Linked DNA regions of Canis lupus familiaris. The protein of the gene in region 1 interacts with the protein of each later gene in a pairwise test. Links are inferred from orthologs where the notes say so. Each region holds a gene or a part of one and is shown in the gene's direction. Other genes may lie near its edges. The genes, in order: CCNDBP1, C12H6orf226, pre-mRNA-splicing factor SYF2, PIAS2, ILF2, NANOS2 and IMP3.

Region 1 (4,170 bases):
AAAAAATTATTGATACCTAAGTCCCCCCTTCACTCTGCCAAAAAGAAGTGTGTGTGTGTGTGTGTGTGTGTGTGTGTATATACATATATTCAATTTATTTCTACCTTACACATTAATGAGGGCCTCAACATAAATGATACCTACTTTTAAGATGAACTAAAGGACTCAGGCAAATTCACAACTAACTATAAGTCACCTCTTGTGAGTGTTATAAGCAAGTGTGATTGAAGCATAAAGAATCAAAGAGTTAACCCCCGAGACAGAGCAGCATATTTTTAGGAGCCGCCAATAATATGTTAATGAGACCTGACCCTCTAAAGTCTTACTAATAAGCTAATGGTTCTGTTCTGCTTCTCTTTCCAGCTGGTATTTTTTAACATACCCTTGATGGCTTACCTGTGTTGGAGCTTGCTGCAGCGGTGCTGTGGTCACAACTTCCGGTCTCATCTCCATCAAGGAAAATACTTGAAAATTATACCTGTTCACCTACTTATGTTACTGCTATACATCTGGCAGATTTATTCCTGCTACTTTCTTCATATGACATATGGCACTTTAGCTTTCTTCTTCTCCCCTTTGCGGACCTGGTTGACACTGTTGACACCTGTTATCATTCATAGTGTGTGGACTCTGAACTCTACTGAGCTTGGAACCTTTGTGGCACAGTTAAAAAGCCACCTGAGCTCCTGAAGGCCTTGTCTCACCATCCACCTCTTTGGCCCAGGCCTCTGCCCCAGCAGCAGGTGGAAGGCCAGTGATGGTGGGCAAGCTTCAGGGAGCTGCTGCACCCTGGACACCTGGGAGTTGAGTGGGATTACCCACTACTGATTCCTACAGAATGGACTGCAGAAAAATCTCTAAATAATGCCATGATTCCTTCCTTCTCCAAGAAGGCAAAGGATTGATTTACTTTTGTTCAGAGAAAGTCCTAATCAGGAGATCCACAGGTGAGGGACTGGGTGTGTGTATGGGAGTATTTTTTATGGTTACCTCGTGTAAAGTACCTAGCACAGTATGTGGAATTCAGCAGCCCACAAGGGTGCCACGTTGGGGGCAGGGAAGCTTTGTGAACTTGGGCCCTACCTTGACTACCCTTGAGATAATTAGCTCAGGTCTACTTTTCCCTCAGGGTACTGGGTTCTCTGCTTCTTTAGGTGGGGTGCTTTCAGCTAATCAAATAAATGAATGATGAATAAGAACTCTGACTGGGCCTTGCATCTGTGGGCGGGAGGAGGCGAGGCCGGGACCCTCGGGGGCGGGGCCAGGCTTCGGGAGTCGGAGGGGGCGTGGCCGGAACCCCCAGCGACGAAGAGAGGCGTGGCCCGGCCTCGGACGCTGAGAACGGGCGTGGCTGGGGCCCCGGGGCGGGGCCGGGCGAGTTGTTGCCGGAAACGAACCCGGACCTGAGGCTGCCGGAAGCGGAGCGCCCGCTGCCCTGCGGCCCTGGCAGCCGCCTCGGCCGCTCTCGTCCGGAGGTTCCAGGCGATCTCCTGAGATGGCGAGCACAGCCGCACCTACAGCCGCAGTCCCCACCCTAGATCCGCCTTTGGAGCAGATCCGGCGCTTGGCAGTGGAGCTGCGGTTGCTCCTGCCTGGCGTGCGGGGTGAGCTGACGCCTTGGGGGCTGGTGACGGCAGGGGCGGGCTCGGCTAGGGAAGAGGCCGGCGGGGGCGCCGGCGGGGGCGGGGGCGGGGGCGGGGCCGGGCCGGGGTGGCTCCGCTTACCTGTGCTCTTCCTTTTGCCACCCCCGGTCCACATGCTACACCGGCTACAGTTGGCGAAGCCCGGGAGACCACCAAGGAGTTTAATGCTGAGACGTTTTGGAGGAGACTCAGTGAGTGCCTGTCCTGTTGGGGACTTCTGTTTCTCATCCCTTCCAGGGTACTGACGACCCCTTTCCCTCCCGCTTTCCCCCCCTCCCCTCCCCCCGCCGCATCCTCTCAGTCCTTTGCACTTCGGAGGTTGGGATATGAAACACTGATCCGGGGAGGTGTTTTTGAGGCTGACATCTCCAAAGTCCATGCAGCAGCTGCAGGCTTCTCCTTTTGGCGCTGACAACACGGCCCCTCCCCTCTGTCATCCCTCAGACCGGGCAGCAGAGAACGTGTCGAGGGAAGCCACGACCCTGACTGAAGTCTTCTCTCGAGTTCCACTGCCCTCTCCGCAGGTGGGCTTTACTTTCCTGGAATCCTTGTGCTTGCCTCGTTGTTCATTAGGGATCCAGTCGTTTTCTTTCCACCCTTTACACTGAAGCCAGGGGGTTAATTTTCCACACCTGTCAAGTAAGATTGCGGTTCTCACCTCGCAGGGGTGCGAGGTTGCCAAGGGCAGTCAGCCCCTGGCATGCCGTGCTCAGGTCATTCAAATAGGTATTGGTTCAATCTGCAGTTCATCCTGGTTATTTCCTTTCTGATAAATATTTTTTTTAACACTCGCTATTTGCTAAGTGTTTTCACATACGTAATTCCCACCTGACAGATGAGTAAGCGGGCTTAGAGGCTCAGGTTAAGGTAAATAAGAGTGGAACTAGCATTTAAATTAGGGCCCATGATGTCTAAACGACACCTTTTCTGTTATGCTACATAATATCCTTTTTGTATTGAATTGCTTTTTATATTTAATCAGTAACATATATATACAATATAAAATTCAGAAGATGTCAAAGTTAAGTGTGCTAAAAAATTTATATTTCTCCTCCCCAGTTACTTTTGTATTATTCCATATATATTCGATGCACATACACACTCATGTGTATATGCCCGCTTCTTTTTTACACAAATGATAGGATACTATAAACTATAAACACTTTTCTGGACCTTCCTTTAAAAAACAATTAACAACATGGCTTGCACATTGATTCTTAGCAGCACATATGAAGTTGCTCAGTTCTTTGTAATGCTGCATGGTATTCAATAGAGTGTATATAACTATAATTTGTTTAATGATACTTTATGTGGACATTAAAGCTCTTTCCAACTTGTAACTATTATAAACAGTGCTGTGTAAATTGCCTAAGACAATCTTTGTATATATCAGAAGTGGAATTGATGGAACAAGAATTTATGCATTTTTATTTTTATTTATTTTTAAAGATTTTATTGATTTATTTGAGAGAGAGCACAAGTGGTGGGGAGGGGCAGAGGGAGAGGGAGAAGCAGACTCCCCACTGAGCAGGGAGCCCCATTCTGGCCCAGATCCCAGGACCCCGAGATCATGACCCTAGTTGAAGGCAGATGCTTAACCAACTGAGCCACCCAGTCACCCTGAATTTATGCATTTTTAAATAACCAGTTATTATAAAATTGATGAAAATAAACATGTTGGCTATGACTATGCTTTATGCTATTTTTCCAGAACTAGGTATACTTAATTTGAGAGTAAGATTATTTTAAAAATGGCATATTCATTGCCTTATTTGGTTTTAATAATCAGTGGTTTGATTCTTTTTTCAATCTATATATCCAGATGTTTTAAAATGGAAAAAATATTCTTTTGCTGCACCTACAATAAGCTCTCCCTACCCCCTCCCCCCGCATAGGTCCCAGAGAACTGTGATAAGAAAATAAGAAATGAATTGTTAGAGAGCATTTTAAAAGCTTTGCTTAAGAAAGTCAATATTTATTTCAAAAGGAGTAATATTACCTTATTTTTATCTGTTGATCCTTTCTTTCAAATATACTTAGGACTTGTTGCTAAAATTCACAGCTAGTAGGACACTATGAGGAGCAGCATAGAATTATTTTTCTGTACATGCTCAGGACAGTGGGTTCACTCATAGGTGAAAAGTTTTAGTTTTATTTGAGTTATATGTATTTGAATCCCATTTGCTTTCTTAGGATCTTAGCATGTTAGTCTACTGAAAAATGGTTTGTTTTGTTTGTTTGTTTGTTTTAATGTTTTTGGATGTTGAAACAAAGTTACATTGTCATAAACAGTTTTAAGCAGTTACTCTCAATCACTGTACTTATCTTCCATCCTAGACTGGTAACTGTTCATAGACTGGCACCAATCTGTGGACCACATTTTACATAGCACTGGCTTAGAATTTAGCAGGAAAGTGAGGACAAGGAAGATAGGAGAAAGCCAGTGACTACTTGGAAGGAAAATAGCCAACATTGAGCAATATAGGTTCTATGTTAATTACCTTTAGGTATATTGTGATTCTGTTAG
Region 2 (2,391 bases), on another chromosome or scaffold:
GTCTGTAGACATCGGTGTGCAGGAAACTCAGTGGATAAGGGTGGAGAGAGGATCTGGTGGGGTCACAGAAGACAGTCAGCACAGTCAACCATCTGATCAGAATTTTAATAACTGTCTTTGTGGGCATCCCAAGACATTTATGACATTGACATTTATAAAGACATTTGTAGAATGTCTCTCACTCTAAGGTCTGTTCATTTCCTCCAGATGAGATTCAGAGTGAACCTTCTGGGCAGGAGTACCACAGAAGAGATGTAGTCTTCCCACGTCCATTGTGTCCTCAGTGCATCACATCAGGAGACACATGGTGCCCGTTTGTTCTGTTAATAGTAATTAGACTGAAAAAAAGTAATTAGACCTTGATTACAGGATGAAGAAGGCAGTGCTTGCCAGATCCGGCCAACTTTCAATAAACTTAGAAACCTGAGAATAATCGGCACTGACTTTCCAGAGAGCCAGAGGGACTGTAGCACACCTGGTCTGCTTTCATCTTTTCTCATCCTCTTTGAAAATACCAGGCACAGAGTCTTGTTGGCAGGAAAAGGGGAGAGTGGCGAAGCTCCGCCGTCACTTAACTCCCACTGGAAGTCTCTCCGCAGCTATTTTCTGTGTGGAGCTGCGGAGTCAGGCCAGGCTCGGAGATGATCCCCTGGCCGTCTGTCTCTACACGTGCCCTGCAGGTACACACTTACACACAAGTGTGAAAATCGGTATGGACTGGGGTGCCTGGCTGGCTAAGTCTGAGGGGCACGCGACTTTCCATCTCGGGGTCCTGAATTCGAGCCCTAAGAGATTACTGAAAAGAAAAGAAAGAAGAAAAAAGAAGAGAAAGGAAAAGAGGTTTGTAGGAGGAGCCTATGCCCCTGTGCCAAATTGGGTCTTTTTGCCAGCATCATGATCATGCGTGGCCCGTTCTGTGCCAGTCTTGGAGTTCCTTCTAAAGCACTGCACGGGGGCAGCCCCCGGTGGCTCAGCGGTTCAGCGCCGCCTTCAGCTCAGGGTGTGATCCTGGAGTCCCGGGATCGAGTCCCACGTCGTCGGGCTTCCTGCATGGAGCCTGCTTCTCCCTCTGCCCGTGTCTCTACCTCTCTCTCTCTCTGAATTAAAAAAAAAAAAAAAAAAAAAAAAAAAACTTAAAAAAAAGCACTGCCACGTTGCAGGCTCCGGTGTGGGCTAGTTTTCCGTGTGCGTGGAGCTGGTCGCGGCTCTCAAGTGCTCCCCCCTTTCTGGGCCGGCTTGGTACGCTCCACGAACCCCCCCCCATTGCCTCCGATGGTGGTTGCACCCACCGCCCCGGAAGCGTTTCGCGCTGCTGCGGGTGAGGCGGCGCAGCGGCGCATGGAGCCGTCGGGCCGTCGGAGCGGCCTGGGCTGCGGCCCGGCGCCCGCGGAGTCGGCCTCGGCATCCGTGAGCCTGGCGCAGCTCGTGCAGCTGGTCCAGCAGGGCCGGGAGCTCCCTGGCCTGGAGATGCGCCACATCGCGGCGACCCACGGCGAGCCCACGGCGTCGCAGCTCCCGCGGAGGCCCAAGCCCTGGGAGGCCGCGGGGTCGGCCGAGGCCGCCGCATCGCCGCCCTAGACCCCGGGTCCCGGGAGACGAGCCGCGTGGACGGGTCCTGCTCGGCGGAGGCGGGATTGCGCCCTCTCGATGGCCCGCAGTGGGTTCCTGAGGCTCCATGTCCTTTACCTCTTGGACCCGGAAGGCGGGGCTGTGCCCTGCGTTACCTCGGACCCCGGATACTGGCCTCGGCTTTTCATCCTTTGTGCATTCGCCCGGACTCATCTCGGCTGGACTTAAGCCTCCTGGGAGTATAATCGGGGTTGTCTGTATCCGTATTTCTGAAGCATGATCCTCATTAAATTTTTAAAATACCCAGTTTCAGCCCTTAAAATTGACAAATCTCATACTTCACTGTCCCCGATGCATAGATATTTTGATTTTAAAAAAATGATTTTATTTATTAGCACGAGCAGGGGAGGGGCAGGGGGAGAGGAAGCAGCAGACTCCTCAATGGGCAGGGAGCCCGGGGTGGGGGGGGGGGGGGGGGGGGGCGGGAGGCTCTATCCCAGGACCTGAGATCACGACCTCAGCAGAGGTCAGATACTTGACCGAGCCTTTCAGGAACCTTTTTTTTTCTTCTTTCGTTTTATGAGAGAGGTAGAGACATAGGCAGAGGGAGAAGCAAGCTCCCCTCGGGAAGCCCAATGTGGGGGGGGCGGGGGGACTCTATCCTGGATCCCAGGATCACGCCCTGAGCCAAGAGCAGAAGCTCAAGCCCTGAGCCACCCAGGCGTCCCGATGTGTTTTCCTTCTTACAATGCTACTGAAGAGGCACACAGAATTTTATTAGTAATGGAAACGAATTCGGGATCCAAATGGTGTTGATTTTAG
Region 3 (4,258 bases), on another chromosome or scaffold:
GAGTCGTGTTGTGGTGTAATTACCGGTTCTGGACCTGAGGCAGGGGCCTTACTGTATTGACCGCTGCATCCACACTAACTGGCTGGGGTACACTAGGAGCTTGGCGGGAAGTGGGGAGGAGGGTGTTGGGATGAGTGAGTGAGTGGCCAACTTGCTGTGTGACAACAGACACATTCCCTTCCACTTCTGGCCCGCAGTATCCCCCTCCATAAAAAGAAGGGTTTGATAGAATCACTAGAGCTGAGCGTGTGGGGAGAGCTTGCATTAAAACAAAACAAAACAAAACAAAACAAAACCAGTATCTGGGTCCAGGAAATTATTAAATCAGACATTCTAAAAGTGAGGCCTAAGCACGAGCATTTTTAAAAAGTTCTGGAGTGGGGGGATCCCCGGGTGGCTCAGCGGTTCAGCGCTTGCCTTCGGCCCAGGGCGTGATCCCGGGGTCCTGGGATCGAGTCCCGCGTCGGGCTCCCCGCATGGAGCCTGCTTCTCCCTCTGCCTGTGTCTCTGCCTCTCTCCTTGTGTCTCTCATGAATAAAAATCTTAAAAAAAAAAAAAAAAAAATCAACTCTGGAGGGATTCCAGCGTGCTACTGGGGCGGAAACCACCGGGAAAGACCTTTCTTCAGCTCCGGGGTCGGTCAGGCGCGCAGGTGCGGCTCGGTGGTCCCTCCCGCGTCGCGCCCGCCGCCGGGGGCACAGGTCTCCGCGGCCCCGCGGGCTACTCACCCGCTTCAGGTGCAGCCTCTGTTCGCGCCTCTGCTCTCCGCCCTCCGCGCTGTTCGCCGGCACCTGGGCAAGGAGCACCGGCTGGAGTCGGGGCGGCCCCGCCGGGTCGAGCCCTCAGCGCCGGCCCGACCCCACGCGTGTGTGCCTCCCTCCCTGGCGCCGCCTCCACGTCTAGCCAAGCCCGTAGCCGCAGGCGCCCCTACCCCATCCCCTGGGCGAAGCCCGCCACCTTCTCATTCCCAGACTCAGACCCAGCCGCCATCACCCGGCAGCGCCCGATCCCTCTGACTTCGGCGACAAATAACTTTCCCGACTGGGCGGTAGCCACAGGTATCCGGGAGAAAACCCCGCCCCTTTCTGCTTCTCCCGGAGACAAGGGACCAATCCCCGCCCGTCGCAGCCCTGGGCCGCATCCGATTGGTCCAGGGCTGTGCGCAGGCGCGTTGAGTAGAGACACCTGGGCGGCGCGGGTAAAACCAGAGACCTGGAGTCAGCGCTCTTGGGACCAAGAGGAGGAAAAAACCCACCGAATGTGTGGAAATGCAACCCAAAGCTCAAGATGTGCTCATCATCTGACCAACCTTGTAGTTCAGATTTCTGAATTCAAATCCAGGGTAGATTCACAGTTACCATCACGTCATCCTGTTTTTGTTTGTTTGTTTGTTTACTTCATCCTGTTTTAATCCCCGCTTAGTTTATTGTCGCCCTGCTCAGGTCAACGTGAGCTCCAAGAGGCACAGCGGATTCCTGTGGCCCGAACGGTACCTGGTGTAGGGTATGAACTAATTTCATACTGTTGAGTGAAAGAAGGAACAAATTGGTTGGGGGCTATTTGGTATCTTGAGTATCTTCGTGATGCAGAGGATTTGGATTAATTTGAGGCTTTGACTTTCTTTGGAAAATTCTGCACAGAACAGCATTCTTCATGTATCTGTTCACTCATTCAATAATGAACTGTATGATCGTTCTTATTTGTTTGCTAACTAGTCTGCTCTTTGGTTCATCATCTATGAAAAAGAAATAATAAAGCAATACCTATGTAACAGAGTAGTTTGGGGATAAATTAGATAATATGGGTGAAGTATCTGTGACTAGTACCTGACCCATAGCAAATGATGAGTTATTGCTGACTTTTACCAGTTGGCATTAGATGTCCCCCCCTCTCCTGCCTGAGATTTTATTAAATGTCTTTCCTCAGGGAAGCCTTAACCTCCACTGCCTGAAGGGTCACTTGCCTGTTATAGCTCATTCATACTTTCTTCTTTGTTACATTTACATAAGTGTAATTAAACAAGTGTGGAATTGCTTTGTTTAATGCCGCTGATTTAAATGAGGCAAGTTTCTAAACCACTATTAATATAGCAAATCAGGATCCCTGGGTGGTGCAGCGGTTTAGCGCCTGCCTTTGGCCCAGGGAGCGATCCTGGAGACCCGGGATCGAATCCCACGTCGGGCTCCCGGTGCATGGAGCCTGCTTCTTCCCTCTGCCTATGTCTCTGCCTCTCTCTCTCTCTCTGTGACTATCATAAATAAATAAAAAAAATGCAGCAAATCTAGGCCTTTATTGTTTTCTGTATCATGGATGAATTGATAGAGGAGTCTTACATGTATTTATATTCTTTAGGAATACAGAAATGTCCATGACATAATTATTTTCAGAAAGATCACACTGGAATTACAGGTTCTACAAAACATTTTGTCAGAGCCCTACAAACTGAAGTCAAATAATTAAGGAGAGTTTAATGAAGTGATTGTTTACAAAGTTGTGGCCTGGGTTAAGAGAAACCAGCAAAAGAAAGTGAAGCATTCTTCACTAGAAGGCTAGCAGCAGGGAAAAGCCATTGCTACCCCTAATCTTTTTTTTTTAATTTTTATTTATTTATGATAGTCACAAACAGAGAGAGAGAGAGAAGCAGGCTCCATAGTCACACACACACAGAGAGAGAGAGAGAGAGGCAGAGGCTCCATGCACCGGGAGCCCGATGTGGGATTCAATCCCAGGTCTCCAGGATCGCGCCCTGGGCCAAAGGCAGGTGCTAAACCGCTGTGCCACCCAGGGATCCCTGTTACCCCTAATCTTAAAGAGGTAAGGGAAGGATAGGGTAGGAGAGGGTCTTCAGGCAGAGGCTGTAACTAAAGAAATCGACCAACCCATAATCCAGGCAGGGAATAAATATCCTGATCCCATTTCTCCCAGATTTCTTATCTTCTGTAAGTGCCGCTAATTGGAAGGATCTAATGAGGAGAGAGTAATAAACAAGAGAGCTTATTGATGCAATACATACGGGCCAGCACTTGTGGGTGCAGAACAGAGTGGACACTGGTGGAAGGTGGTTCTAAAGGAGCAAACAACATATCTAACACAATTCTTTTCATGGGACATGGTAACAATTTCATAATTTTTTGAAATTTTAGAAGAGCTCTTTGTTCAAGTTATATTTACATAGATTTAGTAACAAAGAACAGAACAAGTTGTGTGGCCAACTGAATTTTCCAAGATGATAGAAGATCTTCCATCCTACGTGCTGTTCTTACAATGTGACATTGGCATACCTCCTAAGGAGAGATAAGATCTATGTCCCTAATCCTTGAATATGTGACTACGGAGGAAGTGACATGATGTGACTTCTGAGGCTAAGTCATAAAAGGGGTAACAGATTCCATCTGGTTCTCCTGGGATGTTTGTTTTTTGAACCCAGTCACCATTCTTTGAGGAAGCCCAGGCCAGATGGACAGGTCATGTAGGACTGAAAATTGGTACAACCCTTAGGGAGGGTAGTTTGGCAATATGTATAAAAATTACAGAGGCATTTTCTTTTTGACTTAACTGTTACACTTCTCAGAATTTATCCTACAGGTGCAATTGGACAGGTATAAAATGACTTATGTACAAGGATTGCTTCCTCCTATGATTTAGTAAAGATGACATGATTGCAGATTCATTGGGTGAGAATATACAATAATTTTTGCTGGCTGTCATGTAAAGCTTGTTGGGTAAATTTAGTAAAGCTTCAGTATACATCTTGGCCAACAGAGGGAACAAAGACAGTGGGATGAATTCTCCCTTACCCCCAGGGAAAGCCCTAGGGTGCAATGATCTAACATCCAGGTAGAAGTCATGACCAATGATCTGTGCCACATAACCACTGAGTTCCACTCAGGGCTGCTTAGTAAACATATGGACAATGTAACCAATCAGTTTCCTTCAATATAACAGAATGCTTCCAAAGTTCTAGATATCCATCCCACATCTTGGGTGCAGTTGGGTTGGTTATGTTTAGAGTGATTTTGTTATTGTTCCCAACAACATAGGGGTGCCTGGGTGTTCAAATGTCCATACTGGGGTAAGCAACATACACCCATCCCAAATCTGAGTATAGCCACCCATGGTTCTGACAGTCATATTTTTTTATTCTTTTGGCTAACAAATTGGTGGGCTGTCTGCATGGTTTGGTTAACAGAAAAAGAATACTTATGTCCTGTGTCATTAATAGTATGTGCTATAGGCCAGGCTTCTGGATCAGAGTTAC
Region 4 (4,090 bases), on another chromosome or scaffold:
GGGACAGCGCTGAGAGCCGTGCAGTCAAACCTACCAACCCGACAGCTAATACTACAAACAACTCTCGGTGAGGCCATGCCTTCTCTTAATTTCGTGTTCATGTTGGTCCCTTGTATGCGTTGTAAACTTCTCGGCGGAAGGCTTGTATTCTATTCACCTTTCTCTTCCTTCAAAGCACCTAGTTCACGGTGACCTTCACTTAATGGCTGTTGAACAATGTTAAACTCCAGTGAGGTGTAAACCAAGGCCAAAGGAGGATAAACACTAAAATCAAGAAGCAGCCAGGCGAAGACCACGAAGTTAATGGTAGAGAGCCAGCGTCAGAAATCACTCTAGTTGCTGTTCATTCATTCTTTTACTCATTAAACAAACGGGGAATGGGAAGAGGCAGTAGGCAGGCACCAGAGTACACAGGGCTCTGCAGATGGTATCAAGGGTTTTAAAGTTCTCCCCGTGGGTGGGTTTCACCCACCTCTTCAGGGAAATCTGAACCCCGGGCTTGGTCCAGTGAATTTTCCGAGCAGCTTGACTCAGCATCTTCTCTCATCCTTATCAGCACGTCGCCGGTGCCACCGCGCTTCGCTTCCATCTATTTTGCCCTTGGCATTTCATCTCGCCCGGCTATCTGATTTCCCCGACCCCTCGACTTTTTAAAAAACCGGGGATCTTTGGGAGTACTCTTCTTTCGCTCTCTTATTTCACCTTTCCCCAGGTCCCGCCGCTCCACCCTCTCGCGCCTGCAGCCCGTGACATTCAGGCGCCCTTCAAAGCCAAGGCATCAGCCAGGTTAGTACTCGGAGGGCAGAACCCACGCGGCGAGGGCTCGGCCGGCGCGCACCTGAGATCGCAAGGGCGGCTTGGGCAGCGCCACGCTGAGGCTGGTCCGCCGCCGCTTTGGGGGGCGGTTTTCCTGGCGGCTGCTTCCCGTCGGCTACAAGGGCACCGCTAGGATTTTCCCGAAACGTCGCTGCCGGGAGCCCCGGCCACGTCTCCCCCGCCTCCGCCGCTCCCCGGCCGGGGTCCTCGTCCCAGGGGCGGAGCGGAGGAGGGCACGGCCGCGGGCGCGGCGCCGGAAGGCGTGCGGGGGGCCGGCGGGCGGCGGGAGCGGGCCGCGGGCCCGGGCGGAAGACGTGGGCGGAAGGCGGTGGGCCGGGTGGGCGCGGGGGGCGGGGCCGCGCGCGCCGGGGGCGGAGCTCCCGCGCCGGTCACGTGACAGGCCCGGCGGCGGCGGCGGCGGCGGCGGCAGCGGCGGCGGCGGCGGCCGCGGCGTCTTTAGCGGCGCCCAGTGCAGGATGGTGCTGGAGGCGGCGGCGGCGGCCGTGGTGGCGGCGGCGTCGTTGGCGGCAGCGGGAGGGGGTGCTGTGGCGGCAGCGGCGGCGGCGCCCGCGGGTGGTGTAAAATGGCGGATTTCGAGGAGTTGAGGGTAAGCGGGGGCGCGGGAGTGGAGAGTGGAGGCCGCGGGGGAGGGGAGGGGAGGCGAGGCGAGGCGAGGCGAGGCGGGGGAGCCGCAGCGTCGCTCGGCCGCCAGCTTCTTGTTTCGCGGGGACCGGCTGGCGGAGTGCGAGCGGGGCGCCCGGCGGGCGGGGGAGGGGAGCCGGGCGGCGGAGGGCGGCTGGGCCGCGCGGGGGCGGCGGCGGGCCGGGCCCGGAGCGGCGGGTGGGCCGGGCCCGGGGGGCGGGGGTGGGGGGCACACCTGGCGCGGGGCGCGCGGGGCGCGCGGGGCGGGGGGCGCGGGGGCGCCGCCGCCGCCGCCGCCGGGAGGGTCTCGCGGGCGCCCGACGGCCTGGTGTCCGGGCTGCGGCGGGACGCGGGGTCCGCCCGTCCGCCTTGGGGGCCGCTCCGAAGTCCGCGTGGTACTCACTTGCCGGGAGACTGTTTTCGGCGACGCCGAGGGGCGTTCAGGAGTCCTCCGCCTCTGCTCTCGGGGCTGGTGCTGCCGTTCCGTGAGACCGCGGTTCGGCTCGACCTCACACTTGGTGTTTTCTTACTGCCCTGGTAAGACGCTCGCAGAGGCCGAGGGGCCGTGAGCTTGGCTTGTGAACTCGGCTCGCGCGGGGGGGAACCTTTTGCTTCCTGGCCTTAGGACAAGGTCACAACTTTATTGTTGGTATCTTTGTAGTCGGGGTTTGAAAACGGGTGTGCTGGGGGGTACAGAGGAAAAGATATCCCGCCCCCCTTCCCCGGGGCTGGTAACCTTCAGAGTCCTCAGCTGAAACTGAACTGTGATAAACGGACGGGATTGATTCGTTATTATTATTATTATTATTATTATTATTATTATTTATTATTTATGGATCGCTGAATTACTGGCGACAGAAATGGAATACTTCAGGACGGAAACCGTGATTTAAAAAAAAAAAAAAAAGCCGAAGTAGAGCTGAATGCGAACTTGAAATTAACTGCAGTCCTTTTGCATAATAGACTACGATGTAAGGGTTACTTTTTGGGAATAAGGAGGAGGAGGAATCCGGTCAAAGATTCAGTTTTGTATGTTTGTGGTCCCTCCCCCCCCCCCCTCCGCGAGGGATGGAGTCGGAAGGATGTTGTCTGCTTACCTGGCTGGTACGATGGACATCAGCAAAAGAACCTATTGGTGTAACGATCTAAAGGGAGGGCGTGTTATAGTTTGCATAATACCTGCCATTTTCCCTTCTGTCGTTTCAAAACGAATTACTTAATTCCTAGTAAAAAGTACATGAATGCATTTTCTTTATATTAGTTTATAGTGCCTCTACATTAGTTTATACGGAGAACCATAGTAGCGGCCAAAGGGTATTCATGTTGGTAAGTGTAGGAGTTTTAACACCTGTGGAGCTTTTGAAACAACCAGGTCTGAGCCTCAGCTGTGTAAATGAATGCATTAGGTTGAGGATTGGTTAAGGAGACAAGTTGGAAGGTCAAAAAATTTTTTTACATGCAGTGTCCTAATTTTTGCGCAGTAACATATATATACAAGTGATCGTCTTCTAGGATTTTTTTTTGTTGATGAAAGTTTTTCCAAGACTTGCATTAGACTTTTATAAATGTTGTTTGTCAAAGCTTAATAAAAAGGGGAGGATTTATTTGCAAGTATAGGGCAGAAAGAGCAGTCAGTGCTGAAGTTCGAGTGGAGCCAGGATGGAAGCCAAAGATGCTTTTTTTCTCTTCGGGTTTACCTGTCCTTTCCCCCTTCTTGCTCCCCACTTTTATCCCCCCCCACCTCCTTTCCTCCTTTTCTCCCTCTCCATTTTCTTCCCTCTCCCCCACCTTGCCATCTACAATTTGTTTTGTAGATCAGCTTCATCATCTTTTTCAGCTGTCTTTGCTTCTTCCCACACTTGATGGAAGATGGCACCTCACTTAAGGTGCCTGGCAGAGTCTGGGGAGAATTTTCAGAGGACAAGAAGGGTGTGCAGATAGATGGTGGAAGAGTTATCCACACCAGTCTTTGCTTTAGTTGCTCAGCAGCATCTTCTACATTTAAAGATGAACTGTCTCCATGTCCTGTACCCATTTCAGTGGTGGTGGTGATGACGATGATGATAATAAATATCCATTATAATATCTCTGGTTATTACCTGCCTGGCTCTGGTCTAAGCACTTTACATACCTGTTTAATTCTTGCAATAATTGTAATAGAATTATTAGAAGAAATTGTCAGAAGAAACTGAGACCAGTTGAGTAGCCCAACATAGCTTGAGCTGGAAGACCTGGGATTTTTAACCTCAGATGTCAAGCTTTAGAGTCCACGCTCTTCAGAATCTGGGCTCTCCTGCTCTGTGCAATTTCCTTCAGGTCCACGTGGTGTTGCTAGCCATCAGCCTGCAATCTATGAACTAAATAGAATGACAGCCAGTGTCCTTCTTATGTGACATATAATACTGGAGGGGAAACAGGACAGCTGACTGAAAATCTAATTAGAAAAGAGGAAGAAACATGTAGGGCATTCTAAATGGTTGGTCTCTGCTTCAGAATATATTCTGTGGGGGTCAGAGAGTCCGGTAAATTAAAGGACCAGGGAAAACTGGCCAGCATTAGTTTGTTGGCTAACTTGGCAGTAGAGGAAATAGCTGACTTGGAAGTCACATATTTGGCTGCCCATACTATTGCT
Region 5 (4,137 bases), on another chromosome or scaffold:
GTGTCAAGCAAGAGAAACTGGACAGAAAGTACAGACATTCCTGTGAAGTTGAGAACAGACGCAGCCAACCTGTGCTCACAGAAATCGGAGTTGGGGTGGCCCGTCGGGCGGGCAGAGGGTCAGGAGCGCAGACACAAGTCCTTTGTCCTCACCTGGGTGATGGTTGCGCGGCGGAGCCCATCACTCAGTTAAAGTAGAGGAAAAGCTTGCGGTGCTGCATGTTGCTTGGCCGTCTCTGAGTGGGTGACCCAGCAGCCACCGCGTGTGACCCTGGGGCTGCAGCGGAGTCCTCCCTACACTGTCCACCAGCGGGGAAGCACACAGACCGCAAATCTCTGCTGAAAGTAGAAAACGTGCGGGCAGTGAAGTAAACGTATCCGGTGCAGAAGGGGAGAAGCCGGAGAGAAAGGACCCGGGAGGGACCGGCTGCCCGCGACTCGGGGGCGGGAGAAAGAGCGCCTGCCTATGCGCGCTCGGAGCCACCTGGCGGGGGTGGGGGGCAGGTGCCCTGGGGGTCGCGGAGGGAGGGGAACCTGGGGGAGCGAGACCTTCCCCAGGCGACTCGGGTTCCTCCTCCTCTGCAGCCTCCCCTCAGCGCTTTTTCTGAACTTTTTTTTTTTTTTTTTTAAGATTTTATTTATTCATGAGAGACACACAGAGAGAGGCAGAGACACAGGCAGAGGGAGAAGCAGGCTCCAGGCAAGGAGCTTGATGCGGGAATACATATAAGGACCCCCGACATCACACCTTGAGCCACCCAGGTGCCCCTGAAGGGTCTTTCAAAGGCTGCCTCGGTTTCTCCTCTAGTCTAACCCGTTGTCATCAGGGCTTTCCGTCTGATAGGAGTCTGATCAGCTTCTCTTGCCTCAGGTTCCCGCCTTCGGTGAGCCCCGCCCAGGCGTGTAGCGTTGCCTGAAGTCCCTTCCCATCCCCTTCACTGCATTTTGGCAAAAACGGTTCTAAAGGCTGCATTTTTGAGGGAGGAAAAGGTGATTATAAGCACTAAAAGTACGTGCAGCACCCAAGGAAAAGATGTAACACCTTATAGCAGAGGATGGTTTCGATCCATCGACCTCTGGGTTATGGGCCCAGCACGCTTCCGCTGCGCCACTCTGCTACTGGTGTCGTTAGCCTCTCAGCATCCTAGACGAAGCTCTGTCCAGTCATTTTTGCACCGCGCCACCTAGTGCCTGCCTTAAAAAAAAAAAAAAAGGTTGTTACTGTGAAATCTGTTCTTATTGGCTAATTTCTGACACAGCAGGCGCTTCTTATTGGCTTGCAGGCCGGTCTGCGAAAATAAGCCAATGGGCGTTAGCGGCGGCGTAGAGCGGGGGCCAATCGGGCCAGAGTTTGTTGGGACGCTCCGGCCAGCCGCGTCTCTGGTGTCTGCTCCTCCGAGGCGAGGGGCGGTTAGGGTGGCTTCCATTGTTCGGGGCTTAGGGCGCCATGAGGTAAGGGCCGGGGCGGGAAGGCGGCGGGCGGAGCCCAGGGGCCGAGGATTGGGCAGGCCGGGGGCCGGGGGCCGGGCGGCGGGCGGACTGGCCTTGACCTGGGGCGACGGCTCCGGGAATCCCGGGGTGTACGTCCCCCGGACGCGCGGTTGGAGCCCGGGCCCTGGGAGCGGGGAGCTCGGCGCGGTGGCGGTGCCTTGGACGCAGCGAAGACCTCCGGGAATGTCTGCCTTCCTAGGGGTGACCGAGGACGAGGGCGCGGCGGGCGCTTCGGGTCCCGAGGAGGCCCAGGAGGCGGGTGAGTGCCGGTCCCCAGTGCCCGCCAGCCAGAGGCACCGCTCGCGGTGAGAGTTGGCTGAGGAGTAACGGGGATCCCTTTTCCTCTTTCAGGTTCCGGCCGTTTGTGCCACATATTCCATTTGATTTCTATCTGGTGAGTAACTAGCTCCTTTTGACCCTCGTTGACCTCGAGTGCCCTGGAACCCCGTGCCTCGCCGCGGGTGCGCGGGGTTCACGGGGAGCTCGGGCCGGCAGGAAGCAGCAGGGTTTCGGGTCGCCTGCAAAGCCCGTGTGCTCACGGGGCTCCTGTGGGCGCTAACAGGACTGTGGTCTCTGCTCTGGATGATGAATGCCCTCTTTGGTGTATCTGTTTCTGTAGCGCAATGAGAACTTAAACGATGGCTGGTCCTTCCAGCAAGTACTCTGGTTTGAGTACCTTAACGAGTAAAAACAAGTATTTTTTGTAAATAGCATGTCGTTTCTTTGTGCCTTAGTGTGAGATGGCTTTCCCCCGGGTCAAGCCAGCGCCTGACGAAACTTCGTTCAGTGAGGCCTTGCTGAAGAGGAATCAGGACCTTGCTCCTAATTCTGCTGAACAGGTCTACTTCTTGGGCTTTCTCCCTGAGATTTCTCTAAAAACCTCCCACCCAGGTTGCTGTTACCAGAGCCTATACTCCGCAGAGGCTCAGCTGATCTCATTTCTCACTGTGGGTACAGGGAGAGTGTCACAAGATTATATCAACAGATTCCATGTGCATTTATGTTTTTATTCAGGGATGCGTCTTTAGGTCAAAAAGTTATGGAAAAATACCCCAACTCTGAGAAGTTGCTTATAATTTTTCACTTTAGGGTATCTTTGTTTCCTGCTGTTTTTCAGGCATCTATCCTTTCTCTGGTGACAAAAATCAACAATGTGATTGACAATTTGATTGTGGCTCCAGGGACATTCGAAGTGGTGAGTTTTAGTGATTTAATCATTGGAAAGGGCAGCCTTAGTGGTGTGGGTAGTGTTTCCTTCGCTCCTCCTGTCTCTTAAGTCTTCAGTTACTTATTCGCCAAAGCCAAGCCTAAGATGGGAAGGAAAGTACAGTGGGATCCCTTTGTGGTGGTGATCTTGGGGACAAGACTTGTATCAGTGTTATCAGCTAGCCGTGTATTAGGCTCTTCATGGGGTAGATTGATTGATCGGTTGATAGATTATTTTAAAGATTTTATTTATCTATCTATCAATCAGAGAGAGAGAGAGAGAGGCAGAGACACAGGCAGAGGGAGAAGCAGGGTCCCTGCAGGGAGCCTGATGTGAGACTGGATCCTAGGACCCTGGGATCTTGCCCTGAGCCACAGGCAGAGGCTAAACCACTGAGCCACCCAGGCATCTCCATGTGGTTATTTTATGATTTGACTTCTGCTACTTCTAAACCTGGGTAATGGGATCCCTGGGTGGCGCAGGGGTTTGGCGCCTGCCTTTGGCCCAGGGCGCGATCCTGGAGACCCGGGATCGAATCCCACATCGGGCTTCCGGTGCATGGAGCCTGCTTCTCCCTCTGCCTGTGTCTCTTTCTCTCTCTGTGACTATCATAAATAAATAAACATTTAAAAAAAATAAAATAAACCTGGGTAATAATTGTGTTGTAATTGAGTTCTGAGAAGAACTAGGCAGTCCTTTATTAATTTTAAGGTTTTATTACTTATTTGAGAGTAAGCACGTGTGGATTGGGCGGGGGGGGGGGCAAAGGAAGAGGGACAAGCAGAATCCCTGCTGAGCCGGGAGCCTGACTGATCCCAGGACCCCAAGACCACTACTGGAGCCAAAGTCAGACTCAGACATTTAACTGACTGAGCCACCCAGGCCCCTCTAGATAGTCTTTTTCACTTCTGCATCTCCCAATCCCTTTTCCAACAGCAAATTGAAGAAGTGCGACAGGTGGGATCCTATAAAAAAGGAACAATGACTACAGGACACAATGTGGCTGACCTGGTGGTAATCCTAAAGATTCTGCCAACATGTGAGTGCATCTCTTTCTGGCCACAGGAGCAGAAAGTTGAGTTTGAGGCATAGGTGTCTTCAAAGCCCAAATTTCTTGTGAGAAAGGTCATTTTTTAACGTGTGTTGGGGTAATAAGGGACAAGGTCTGGACTGTGTGTCTGAAAGAATGTATGGCTGTTACTAAAGGGTAGTGTTTCTCAATTGGTGATTTTTTTCTTCCATGGACTATTTGGCAGTGTCTAGACACAGTTTGGGCTACTGGCAATAAAGGAATTAGAGATCAGGGATGATGCTAAGCATCCTACAGTGCATAGGACATATTCTGCCCTTCAGCCCTCAAAGAATTATCCAGCCCCAAGTGGCATTTGTGCCATTGATGAGAAACCGTACTATAAAAAATAAGGGTGTGGGTCTAGGAGG
Region 6 (2,705 bases), on another chromosome or scaffold:
AGAATTCCTGGAGGTGATGTGGGCAAGAGGCAAGGCTTTTCTTAGCTGCCAACCTCAGATAGGATTTGGGACAATGCACAGAGCCATGGTGGAGCACTCTAAGTGAGACTGTGCCATGCCATGGGCCTCTGCTACCTCTAAGATCAATTCCCAGCATTTCTAGAGTGAAAATGAGTGCAAATTCCAACTGTGCCATCTCCCTCCTGAGTGAACTTAAGTACATTCTTTAACCTCTCTGAACCTCATATTCTTCTCTATAAAATGTGAGTGATTATGCCCACCTCCCTGAGTGGTTATGAGGCTCAAGTCATGTTCATAGATCTCACGTATAAAACATTGAACACCGAAGTGTGCGCTCAAAAAGTATCTGTCGAATAGAGGGCTCCCAGTTCAGGACCTGGGTCAGAGTCCCAGCTCCGTGGCTTGCATGCTCTGTGACTCCAGGCCAGCGAGTTTCCCTCTCTGAGCTTCAGGTAACTCAGTCTATCCTGTGGGGCTCTTAACTGTGTTTCCCGCATAGATGTTGTGAGAGTGAGATCAGATCACACAGGTGCAGCACAGTAGGGCTCCTGGTAAGGACCTGTCATTATTATCCGGAATGTAGGGCGCCTGGGTGGCTCAGTGGTTGAGGGACTGCCTTCTGCTCAGGGTGTGATCCCGGGGTCCTGGGATCGAGTTACGCATAGGGCTCTCTACAGGGAGCATGCTTCTTCCCCTGCCTACTGCTCTGCCTCTCTCTCTCTCTCTCTGTGTGTGTGTGTGATGAATAAATGAATAAAACCTTATTATTAGGAATGGTTCTGGGGTATAGGGCAGCCCCCAGCCTTGGGGTAAATGAGGATGGGGAGCGAGGGGGCATTTGCACACATGGAACTTTATGGAATGGATAGGGAAATTGAGGCCCAGGGAAAGGAAGGGTCTTTCCAGAAGTCACAGGGTAGCCTGGAAGCAGAGCAAGGACCAGAGACAAGGGGAAGGGCCTCCTTCCGATCTCCATGGGGGATTACAGTCAGATGGGGATCCTGGGCAGGGAGTGGGCCCTTTAAATCTTAAGCTCCACCTTTGTTTAGAAGGGTCTTTGGGGGAGTATAAAAGGGGGTGCAGTTCCTCTCTGCTCCAGAAAAGCACCTGCTGCTCCTGCCCACTGGCCCCAGAGCCCTGGCCTTCTTCCTCTAGCCACCCACCACCTCCGCCTGGGAGCCATGCAGCTGCCAGCCTTCGACATGTGGAAGGACTACTTTAACCTGAGCAAGGTGGTGTTGGCACTGATCCAGAGTGGGGGGCAAAGGCCAGAGGCCCAAGGGAATGGGGAGCCGAGACCTGGGCCCCAGCTGGGGCAGGATCAGGGTGTGGGAGGGCCGGGGGCCAGCCGAAGCCTGGCCACCCTGTGCAATTTCTGCAAGCACAATGGGGAATCGCGCCACGTCTACTCCTCACACCAGCTGAAGACCCCAGAGGGTGTGGTGGTGTGCCCCATCCTGCGGCATTATGTGTGTCCCTTGTGCGGGGCCACCGGCGGCCAGGCTCACACGCTCAAGTACTGTCCGCTCAACGGCGGCCAGCAGTCTCTGTACCGCCGCAGTGGCCGCAATTCAGCTGGCCGCAAGGTCAAGCGCTGAGGATCAGGAGGTGCCTACCCCCCTTCTACCCCCAACCCTCCTGGTTTGGTCCCTGCCTAGTCTCTGGACCCTCCCCCTGACTCACCCAGCCCTTTGGAACTTCTGGCTCCCAGAGCTACATCCCTGCGGGATCCTGAAACAACAGGCTGCTGGGGAGCCCCGCCAGCTCTGCCCCCCGGGGCCTCTCAGGCCTGGAGCTCTGTCCTGGGGGTGTCTGTGGATTCTTGGTGAGGCAGGACTGCTGCCCTCTGGACTGCAAGGCCTGGTGGCTCCTTCTGGACCACCGTTTGTGGATCTTTAGTCTTTCTGGGGGCCAGTGTCACCAGCAGCCCCATGATCCCATTCCTGGTGGACTTCTTGGATTATTGGACCTAGAGGACCCAGCGTGCTCTCCCAGGCCCAGCCTAAGAACTTGGAGAGAGTGAACGAGACTGGCTTGGACACTCTAGCCCAAGAACATCAAGATGTGATTCTGACTTGAGACCAGCTTTGTCCACCTGCTTCAGCCACCACATGTGAACTCATGGTTTCACCGTGGACTTCCCTGGATTGTTCCTTCCCAGCCCGGGCAGCCCATCCACCGGGAGCTGGGGACAGGAGGAGGCATGCGGCAGGAGGCAGGGAAGGGGGGGGGGCGAAGGGGGGGACCTTGTCTTGGAAGGCTTATCTGGGAGTGGAGAGCTTGGGGTGCGCTGCTGACATCCTTCAACTCCCCCTGGTAGACCTTGTTGTTCATTCTGTTTCACTGCACTCCCGCCCCCAACACCCCCAACCGCAAATCACCAATGGGTGTTTCCCACAGCCGGAGGGCGGGCAGCTCTCCACTGCCTCCCACCCACCTTTCAAGGTAGTTTGCTAAAAGTCTTTTTTCTTTCTCCCAGTTTTCTTTTTCATTTTTTTTTCGTCCTCCAACATTTAATCAATGAAGCTCCGACAAGAAAGGGGTTTTAGTGCCCAGATGGGAAAGGCAACTGCCTAGATTTTATTTTAGGGGCAAGGAAAAGAAAGAGCCCCGGTCAGATTTTTAAGTTGCTCCGTTTTTGGCTCAGGGCTGGGCCCTGGGTGTTCAGCACTAGTGAATAAAGA
Region 7 (2,727 bases), about 29 Mb from region 1:
CCTCTGGCTGGAGAAGTGGCCGGAGTAGGTCGATGGAAGTGGTCCTGGTGACATTTTTCTTAAGCTGGCTGTTGGGTTCCTAAGTATCCTCATTATACTTTGTAACTTAACATGTATAACTTACACTGACATGTATCATTTCCCACATAGTAAGTATCGTACTTAAAAGGACAATGAAACTCCCGTACAAAACTAAAAATGATCAGCGAGGAAGCTAGATGGCGTCAAAGGCCCAGGCAAACAGACCGGTTTCGTGTATGTGACTTACAGACCGAAGGAGCCGAAGAGCGTTGAATGTATTCAGCTCGGTGCCGGGTGACCAGAAGTCCACCCGGTCGGGCTAATTCGAGTGAGCTCGGGGTGTGTACTTGAATCCAGGTGTCTCGGACCTGCTAGGTTCGATGAGTCACCTGGCACATCTGCTAATACAGCTTTCGGGGAGGCCTCTGTGAGGGCGAGGAAGCGGCCGGGCAGTCGGGGTTCCTGCAGGCTCGCCAGCGTCGGGCCCCCCTAGACCGGGCGGCGCCGGGAAGCTCCCAGCAGCTGGAGCACCGCGGCCACCGGGAGCACCGGGAGGACCGCGACCGCCGGGAGCATCGGGAGCATCGCGACGACCGGGAGGACTGCGAGCACCGGGAGCATCGCGGCCGCCGGGAGCATCGAAGCCACCGGGAGGACCGGGAGGACCGCGGCCGCCGGGAGCATCGCGGCCACCGGGAGCATCGCGGCCACCGGGAGGACCGCGACCGCCGGGAGCATCGCAGCCACCGCGAGCACGGGGAGGACCGGCGGCCGCCAGGAGCATCGAGGCCACCGGGAGGACCGGGAGGACCGCGGCCGCCGGGAGCATCAAGGCCACCGGGAGGACCGCGACCGCCGGGAGCATCGCGGCCACCGAGAGCACCGGGAGGACTGCGACCGCCGGGAGCACCGGAGGACCGTGACACCGGGAGCACCGCGACCGCCGGGAGCACCGAGAGCACCGGGAGCGCCGCGCAGCCCGCCGAACCAGCACAGCCGGCACCTGTCTCCGCCCGGCCTGACCTCAGCTTCCCGGAGCGGACTCACCTGGGAGACTCTAACAGGCATAAGTCTGAGTGGGACTGAACGACTGCTGCACTGGGGATACAGTCCTCGTGACTGAACACCACGAGGAGGTTTAAAACAACAACAAGAAAAAGGTCTAAAGGAAGAGCACCTGCCCGGGCCGCGGCCGCGCCAGCCGCCCCACCGCCAGCACCTCGGCCCTACTTCCGGCAACGCGGGAAGCAACGCGAGATAGTGACGTGGCTGGCGGGGGCGTGGCTCCGGCCTGACCAATGGGGGCGGAGGGCGTGGCCCGAGGCCGTCCTCTCATTGGGCCGGCCTGGGCGGAAGTCGCGCGGGCGCTCGGCGGCGCGGTCGAGGCGTCGGCTTTGGAGGCCCCGGGAGCCGCCATCATGGTGCGGAAGCTGAAGTTCCACGAGCAGAAGCTGCTGAAGCAGGTGGACTTCCTGAACTGGGAGGCCACCGACCACAACCTGCACGAGCTGCGCGTGCTGCGGCGGTACCGGCTGCAGCGGCGGGAGGACTACACGCGCTACAACCAGCTGAGCCGGGCGGTGCGCGAGCTGGCGCGGCGTCTGCGCGACCTCCCCGAGCGAGACCCGTTCCGCGTGCGCGCCTCGGCCGCGCTGCTGGACAAGCTGTACGCCCTCGGCCTGGTGCCCACGCGCGGCTCGCTCGCGCTCTGCGACTCGGTCACCGCCTCGGCCTTCTGCCGCCGCCGCCTGCCCACCGTGCTGCTGAAGCTGCGCATGGCGCAGCACCTCCAGGCCGCCGTGGCCTTCGTGGAGCAGGGCCACGTGCGCGTGGGCCCCGACGTGGTCACCGACCCCGCCTTCCTCGTCACGCGCAGCATGGAGGACTTCGTCACCTGGGTGGACTCGTCCCGGATCCGGCGCCACGTGCTGGAGTACAACGAGGAGCGCGACGACTTCGACCTGGAGGCCTAGCGCCGTCCCTCCCCGGGGCGCCGCCCGCCGACGCCTTCCCGTTGCTCGACCCCTTTTGATTCGAGTACTCGCTCTTGTTCGGGGTTAAGCGGCGCACGGACCCTGGAGAATTCGAGCTCGAGTTTGCACAGATGCGGGGCGAGGGCGGGCATGGGTTAGTGCGCTGTGCGCCCTCGCGCGCGGAGAGGAGCCGTCCCAATGCCAGTAAAGGGGCCAGCCGCTCGGAGCGTGCACCTTTGTGTCTGTCTGGCTTTCTCGTACGGGCTCACATCTGGGTTCACATCTGGGCTCCTGGGCTCGAGAACCCAGTAGGGAAGAGCGGAGTTAGCGACCTGCCCGTGAGCGAGGCCGGCCCCCGGGGTGGGGGGTGGGGGGTGGGGAGGGCGCCTGCGGAGGTTGCGGCAGATTCGTCAGGGCACTAATCCCTTGCTCGGAATGACTGTCTTGGCCGAGCTCTTCCCCACAGGACTTCCTGTGGATATTCCAGCCCCAGGAAGTAACCGTGTTAGAGGGCTGCAGTGTTTGCTCTTGGCTCGCCCAAGGAAATAATCACCCTGTAGCTTGGCCAGCTAGCGGTTAGAAGTGGCCCAGGGGGTTCCTGGAAGCATGTTCTTCGCGGTGGGGAACTGGAGAAGGGGGAGGTTACCTCTTTTTACCCAAGACTTAGACGAGGAGACTAAGTATAGAGTGCCAAGACTTATGCATTTGCTAGAGAAATACGGGAAGGGGACAC

Evidence for each region.
Region 2: the proteins of CCNDBP1 (region 1) and C12H6orf226 interact in binary tests that used the Homo sapiens proteins (3 or more experiments, as listed by UniProt). The two-hybrid records come from large-scale screens. The link is inferred for Canis lupus familiaris from reciprocal best matches to the Homo sapiens genes CCNDBP1 and PEX39.
Region 3: the proteins of CCNDBP1 (region 1) and pre-mRNA-splicing factor SYF2 interact in binary tests that used the Homo sapiens proteins (3 or more experiments, as listed by UniProt). The link is inferred for Canis lupus familiaris from reciprocal best matches to the Homo sapiens genes CCNDBP1 and SYF2.
Region 4: the proteins of CCNDBP1 (region 1) and PIAS2 interact in binary tests that used the Homo sapiens proteins (3 or more experiments, as listed by UniProt). The two-hybrid records come from large-scale screens. The link is inferred for Canis lupus familiaris from reciprocal best matches to the Homo sapiens genes CCNDBP1 and PIAS2.
Region 5: the proteins of CCNDBP1 (region 1) and ILF2 interact in a two-hybrid assay, tested with the Homo sapiens proteins (2 studies listed by BioGRID and IntAct). The two-hybrid records come from large-scale screens. The link is inferred for Canis lupus familiaris from reciprocal best matches to the Homo sapiens genes CCNDBP1 and ILF2.
Region 6: the proteins of CCNDBP1 (region 1) and NANOS2 interact in binary tests that used the Homo sapiens proteins (3 or more experiments, as listed by UniProt). The two-hybrid records come from large-scale screens. The link is inferred for Canis lupus familiaris from reciprocal best matches to the Homo sapiens genes CCNDBP1 and NANOS2.
Region 7: the proteins of CCNDBP1 (region 1) and IMP3 interact in binary tests that used the Homo sapiens proteins (3 or more experiments, as listed by UniProt). The two-hybrid records come from large-scale screens. The link is inferred for Canis lupus familiaris from reciprocal best matches to the Homo sapiens genes CCNDBP1 and IMP3.

What each region holds. Positions count from the first base shown.
Region 1 is NC_049251.1:10,346,292-10,350,461, forward strand, and holds the start of CCNDBP1 (cyclin-D1-binding protein 1), read left to right. Parts: upstream 1-1,370; 5' UTR 1,371-1,495; coding exon 1,496-1,604; intron 1,605-1,774; coding exon 1,775-1,834; intron 1,835-2,087; coding exon 2,088-2,167; intron 2,168-4,170. Other genes in the region: TMEM62 (transmembrane protein 62), read left to right, coding at 364-690. UniProt on the Homo sapiens protein: May negatively regulate cell cycle progression. May act at least in part via inhibition of the cyclin-D1/CDK4 complex, thereby preventing phosphorylation of RB1 and blocking E2F-dependent transcription.
Region 2 is NC_049233.1:11,640,537-11,642,927, reverse strand, and holds C12H6orf226 (uncharacterized protein C6orf226 homolog), read left to right. Parts: upstream 1-1,146; 5' UTR 1,147-1,272; coding exon 1,273-1,578; 3' UTR 1,579-1,891; downstream 1,892-2,391. UniProt on the Homo sapiens protein: May be a peroxin involved in the PTS2-mediated protein import pathway.
Region 3 is NC_049223.1:73,953,760-73,958,017, forward strand, and holds the start of pre-mRNA-splicing factor SYF2, read left to right. Parts: upstream 1-1,458; 5' UTR 1,459-1,503; intron 1,504-4,258. Other genes in the region: pre-mRNA-splicing factor SYF2, read right to left, coding at 729-791, 980-1,141. UniProt on the Homo sapiens protein: Involved in pre-mRNA splicing as component of the spliceosome.
Region 4 is NC_049228.1:44,443,711-44,447,800, forward strand, and holds the start of PIAS2 (E3 SUMO-protein ligase PIAS2), read left to right. Parts: upstream 1-1,290; 5' UTR 1,291-1,399; coding exon 1,400-1,423; intron 1,424-1,816; exon of another isoform or gene 1,817-1,995; intron 1,996-4,090. UniProt on the Homo sapiens protein: Functions as an E3-type small ubiquitin-like modifier (SUMO) ligase, stabilizing the interaction between UBE2I and the substrate, and as a SUMO-tethering factor.
Region 5 is NC_049228.1:43,390,544-43,394,680, forward strand, and holds the start of ILF2 (interleukin enhancer-binding factor 2), read left to right. Parts: upstream 1-1,337; 5' UTR 1,338-1,446; coding exon 1,447-1,451; intron 1,452-1,689; coding exon 1,690-1,749; intron 1,750-1,841; coding exon 1,842-1,884; intron 1,885-2,224; coding exon 2,225-2,329; intron 2,330-2,607; coding exon 2,608-2,685; intron 2,686-3,633; coding exon 3,634-3,736; intron 3,737-4,137. UniProt on the Homo sapiens protein: Chromatin-interacting protein that forms a stable heterodimer with interleukin enhancer-binding factor 3/ILF3 and plays a role in several biological processes including transcription, innate immunity or cell growth.
Region 6 is NC_049222.1:110,427,807-110,430,511, forward strand, and holds NANOS2 (nanos homolog 2), read left to right. Parts: upstream 1-1,137; 5' UTR 1,138-1,202; coding exon 1,203-1,619; 3' UTR 1,620-2,205; downstream 2,206-2,705. UniProt on the Homo sapiens protein: Plays a key role in the sexual differentiation of germ cells by promoting the male fate but suppressing the female fate. Represses the female fate pathways by suppressing meiosis, which in turn results in the promotion of the male fate.
Region 7 is NC_049251.1:38,869,876-38,872,602, reverse strand, and holds IMP3 (U3 small nucleolar ribonucleoprotein protein IMP3), read left to right. Parts: upstream 1-1,358; 5' UTR 1,359-1,439; coding exon 1,440-1,994; 3' UTR 1,995-2,227; downstream 2,228-2,727. UniProt on the Homo sapiens protein: Component of the 60-80S U3 small nucleolar ribonucleoprotein (U3 snoRNP). Required for the early cleavages during pre-18S ribosomal RNA processing. Part of the small subunit (SSU) processome, first precursor of the small eukaryotic ribosomal subunit.